Nothobranchius furzeri: one gene and its partner. The protein of the gene in region 1 interacts with the protein of each later gene in a biochemical or structural test. Links are inferred from orthologs where the notes say so. Each region holds a gene or a part of one and is shown on either strand. Other genes may lie near its edges.

Region 1 (2,406 bases):
CAGGTTAGCTTTGTGGGCAGGCACCGAGCTGCAGCACCACCAAACCAGATGTTCAGACACTTCTGTCCTAAAATAAAATGTTTTATTTTATTTTAATTACCTTAAAAGACTCAAAGTCTCTTTTTACACTTTATATTTATTTAATCAGGATCGTTGTCAAGTCGACGCCAGAAACAATGAAACACAACTTGAATATCAGATGAACAACAAGGCTTTATTTAACCGGCATTCATACAAGTTATCAATCATGAACGAAACATTTCTCTTACCGTTGCTTATGGGTGGAGAGCTGAACACCCCAGTTAGAAAACGTAATCCATGATAGGTGAAGAACTGAACACATGTAATCCATGAACCTCGTCAGGTAGAATCCTTCAAGCAGCTCTAACCCCCTGAGCTCTGCTCTGCTCCTTATACATTCCCTGATGTGCGTGCAAAGCTGCACACCTCCACCATGATTACCCTTGATTACATCCTCATGATAAGTGTGATTGACAAACAGTAGTGATCAATAACTTATATAAAGCAATTATACAACAGATGACAAGTTCATTTTTATTACAACTTCTCATGACACCAGGAGCCAAACTGACAGTGATGTTTATTACTGAAGCATTTATTATAACTAATACAAGGTTCAACATCAACATCTCATTACAAACACAATGTACAAGAACTCTCACTGATAAACTGATGCTTTACCCCACTGAACTGCAGATTAACCTTCCCACTGTCCTAATGGGTGTGACCCCGCGAAGAAAGTTGACCATTAAGCAGGGTTGATGGTTTATCCCTTGGGTCCATGTGGCAGGGGTGAGGTGGTGCTCAGTCCTCACCCCTGCCACGTGGACCTCACACCCATTAGGACAGTGGGAGGGTTACACAATGATGTGCTCTGACAAATATTTACAAGAAATCCATTAATTAACAGGAAACCAGTCAGGAACAGGATTTTTCATCATGTCCAGGTATTGAGAGGAAGTCTGCGTTCTGCCCAACTTGGGTTACAAAAGACATGATGCAGAAATAAAGAGAGCTCTAGTCGATGGCTGGGGCGAAGCGTGTCCAGGTGTGTTCATACGAAGGTGATGCGGCTGCGGGCCTGGTTGATCTGCCACACATTTAACTCCTCATACTCCTCCAGAGCCTCCTGGAACTGAGCGGGCGTGAAGCCACGAGAGATGCAACGCTGCTCAGCTTCAGACATGCGAACCACACCGCCTGCCCCGCCACGGCCGATCGTGCCCTCAGTGGCGAGCTCCCGCACCAGAGAGAAGATGACATCAGCTGGACGCTGCGCCCTGCAAGGGAGGAGGTCAGAATCAGGACAAACCAATCAGACGCTGATTAGAGGCATTAGGAACCAAACTGCCAAGAAAAGTTTGTTTTCCAAATAAAAAAAAACAGAAGAGTTTTGTGCATGGAAGGCCTGCTGCTTGAAGCACCAACTAATGACCAAAGTGAACATGCTGCCGTGTGAACCAAGCTCTATAAAACACCAGTCATGTTTTACAGCTTCCTGCAGAGCAGCTACTGCATATTCAGCAAACACAAGAAACCCATAAAAGGGAATTCTGGGTTTAACATCCGGTTCCCTCGTGTTAGGCTCAGGGTGCCTAGATGACCCCCCCCCCACACACACACACACACACACACACACTAACCTGGTGGTGCTGGATTTGTCAGCCTGCAGCGAGTCCTTCGACATCTCCATCAGCCGCATAGCCTCGTTCACATCCTCCTTCTCCACAGTGTCCATCATGCGAAGCCGGGCCTGATGGCAGGCATGGACAAAGTGTGGTGATGATGGCAGTTGTACATAAACACACACAAATATCCGACTGGAGTCATGTAAGAAGGTAGGCTGCGATGTGCCGGCACTGTCAGACCGAGACAAGTGCAATGCCCTCTGGAATGGCCGGCAATTGCTCAAGTCTCCGCCTCTCAAAACCAGCTAGTCTCTCCACAGGTTAAAAACTAAACCACACGAGATGAATGAGTCTTTTCAATCTACTCTACATGTAGAAGCTTGTGTTGACAGTTCTCGTCATAGTCAGTTTTGCATGGGTTTGCACAGCTGGTCCTAATGCACACAGGCTGACTGCCCACCCTGCAAAGCTGACCAGGATTAGAAACAATCAATCCCACTTGTACATTTCTTTGTATCAAACAGAACATGAATACTAAACTGAAGAGCAGCTGTGATCGTGCGACATCCCTGCTGCTGAGAGTGCCCCCTTGTGGACGGTGGTGTGCAGCACATTGCCTGCTTGTTTACCTGAAGTGCTGGTTTTGCAGTAGGTGGATGACTGCTACCTGCACAAACAGCACTTTTGACAACCAGAGGCAGAGACACCCCCCCCCCCCCCCCCCGTTAGGTTCAGTCAGCCTGAAGAGTCGGTTCAG
Region 2 (2,922 bases), on another chromosome or scaffold:
TCCCTCAGACGGGCATCTGGACTGAGCTGTATAAGATAGAAGACACCTTCATGAAACCTCTACGCGTGGGGCTGAACATGTCCAGAGCCCACTATGAGAGGGAGCTTCAGGATACCCGGGAGGGCAAGAAGAAGGCCAAAGGTCAGGCCAGACTCCAGAGCGGGGCTTTTAGCCCAGACATCTTGTGACACCGTTTGTTTTTCACAGACCGCTCGGTTCTGTCGGTCTCTGTCGGAGAGGAGAAGCTTCCCCGCATGACGCCGGACTCTCAGATTCAGGTCGGTGTTTTCCTCCTCAGACACGAGCAGTCACGGTGATGTTAGTGAAAACGGCTTCTTTCAGGCGCTGCACTCTGCCCTCCACACCTTCGACATGATTGAGAGTGTGTTGGTGCGCGTCGAGGAGCTCACCGAGGTGAAGGACGGCGTGTAGACCACCAGAGGACCTGCAGCTTGTGGCGCTGCGTACTTTTCAGGTTTATGATGAGAAATGTTGCCTCCTGTGATATAAAATAAACATCTGACTCAAATCACAACTTTATTACCACCAAACAAACATTCTGATGTGGTCTTTTACACAACGTGGACATTTCATCCGGTTCTCACTGTTAAAACTCAGTCCCCCTTCAAAATAAAAGTCCTTTCACACCTTTAGAACCTCGTCCATCAGCTGTTGAGTAACTTCCTGCTTTCAGACATCAAGGAGCTACTTCACGTAGACCTCTGCGCTGGTCTGTCCGGGCCACTGAGCCTTTCGTTAGCTGACTGGTTCTGGTGTGGCCCGCTCAGTAAAACACACCCAGAACTGACTTCTTCATCAGGACATTAAAGAACTTCCTCCAATCCTTCACAATAAGAGTCTAAAACGGTCTCACATACCTAAAAGCATCAGAAGCTTTTAGTTTATTCTGGTCAAACTTCTGCTGCAGCCTGAACGTCCAGGAAGTCCGAAGTCCTTCCCAGAGGAGGTCTGAACCAAAAGGTCACCACTCGCCCAGGCATGACGGCTTCATTTGTGATTCCTCTCAATCCCAAATCTCTAGACGGCACCAGGACTTTCGCCGGGGAACGACCGTTATAGTAAACTAAATGATCGGCTTCACACGTCTGATGTGTTTGAGGCGTATTGTGAAGGACTGAAGGAAGTTCATGGTGAACGAGGTTACGGAGCAGCTCCTGGAGCTCGTTCTGGTCTCACAGGTCCTTGAAAAGCGGGTGCTGCAGCGCAGCAGCGGCTGTGATTCTGGTTGAAGGGTTCAGGTCCAGCAGCTGATCCAGGAGGTCGTAGGCCTCATCAGGAACGTTGTCCCAGCCCCGCTGGTCTCCTTCCTCGTCGCTGGGCCGTGTTGTGGGACCAGCTGTTTTACTGCAGGTTGATTGTTCTCCTGATCCATCTTTGCGTGTCCGGTCAGCGGCTTGAGAGGCAGGAGTCCCATCTCCAGTCTGACGCCAACTCTGACCCACGTTGACCTCTGCAGCTGGGGTGACATCATCATCATCACCCTCTAGCGTTGACCTCCTGCCTCTAAGCATCTCACACAGGGCTCTGAGGTCCTGACGAGGAAGCTCCCGACTGCACACCACCGCCTTCCCTGAAACAACAAGTTCCAACATGGATCTGGATCCTGAACCCCAACAACACCATGCTAGGTTTGTATTCAGAGACTACAGTGGGGCAAAGCCTCCAGCTACGCGTTCTCCCTCTGATGAAGATGAACTTTCATCATGGCTATACCTCAACTATGAGAGACAACATGAGAAAAAGCATCCAGGAAATAACATCGTCTGATTTTAAAGAAATTATTTGCAAATTATGTTGGAAAAAAGTATTTGGTGAGGAACAAAAGTCCATTTCAGTACGCCGTTGTACACCCTTTGTTGGCGATGACATGGGTTAAACGTTCTCTGAGTCTCCACACACTGTTGCTGGTATTTTGGCCCATTCCTCCATGCAGATCTCCTCTAGAGCAGTGATGTTTGGGTCTGTCGCTGGGCCCAACTCCCAGTAAAGATTTCCTGTGGAGCTGAGATCTGGAGACTGGCTAGGCCACTCCAGGACCCTGAAATGCTTACGCCACCGCTTCGTTACTCGAGCGGTGTGTTCGGAACAACGGGAAATCGCTTATTTTAATCTATGAAGCCAACACAGAAGTGACAAAGTTGCAGTTCCACACTCATCCACAAGGGGCTGGATCTAAAGCAGGGCAAACTTAGCCTAGCGAACTAGACCAAACTGGTCTAGGAACGCTCCACTGGAACCTCTGCAGCCCCAACAGCATTCTGGCTGGCCAATCACAGCTCTCTAGAGGGGTTTCAAACACAAAGAGCTGTGATTGGTCCATAATGGTGGGCCAATCATAGTGCTCTATCTGCTTAGTGAACAAATGACAGAGCTTTATCTGCTTTGTGGGCCAATCAGGGCACTCTATATGCCTGGTGGGTGGGATGATGCAACAGAGGGAAACAAGATGGCGACAGCTCGTTTGAAACGGCTTTTACATCCATGTTGGACTATTAGAACTCTGGCTTCATCAGAATCAGGAGCAGATAGATGTATTTAAGAGCTTTTTTAGAAAAAATGATGTGTTTTCCCCTTCTTCAACTGCGGACCGCCTCATTTACCGATAGCTGTTGCGGTGAGTATGTCACAATCATTGTCCAGTGGCATGCAGAGATCATTTGAAAGACAACAGTAGAACCCGCCCCACAACCGAGAGCCGTCAGTGGAGCGTGGCCAGACTACATAATACATTTATTTAGTCTGGCCTGCCAGGCTAAGGGAAACCCTCACCGACTCCCATGTTAAAGTGGCAGCGTGCAATCTCCTGGCGATAGGAGGCAATTCATACATTTCAGGGTAGCTTTACGCCCAATCGCCGTGACTGTTGCTAGGTACGGTAAATGTTACCTGCGGAGCAGAAAG

What was found.
Region 2: of the proteins of mcm7 (region 1) and cdc7, one has a biochemical effect on the other in vitro, tested with the Homo sapiens proteins (2 studies listed by BioGRID). The link is inferred for Nothobranchius furzeri from reciprocal best matches to the Homo sapiens genes MCM7 and CDC7.

Annotation. Positions count from the first base shown.
Region 1 is NC_091741.1:79,979,081-79,981,486, reverse strand, and holds the end of mcm7 (DNA replication licensing factor MCM7), read right to left. Parts: intron 1,775-2,406; coding exon 1,665-1,774; intron 1,302-1,664; coding exon 1,076-1,301; 3' UTR 542-1,075; downstream 1-541. Other genes in the region: and3 (actinodin3), read right to left, coding at 270-352. UniProt on the Homo sapiens protein: Acts as a component of the MCM2-7 complex (MCM complex) which is the replicative helicase essential for 'once per cell cycle' DNA replication initiation and elongation in eukaryotic cells.
Region 2 is NC_091751.1:71,613,070-71,615,991, reverse strand, and holds the end of cdc7 (cell division cycle 7-related protein kinase), read right to left. Parts: intron 1,592-2,922; coding exon 1,194-1,591; 3' UTR 525-1,193; downstream 1-524. Other genes in the region: glmna (glomulin, FKBP associated protein a), read left to right, coding at 9-141, 208-278, 343-432. UniProt on the Homo sapiens protein: Kinase involved in initiation of DNA replication. Phosphorylates critical substrates that regulate the G1/S phase transition and initiation of DNA replication, such as MCM proteins and CLASPIN.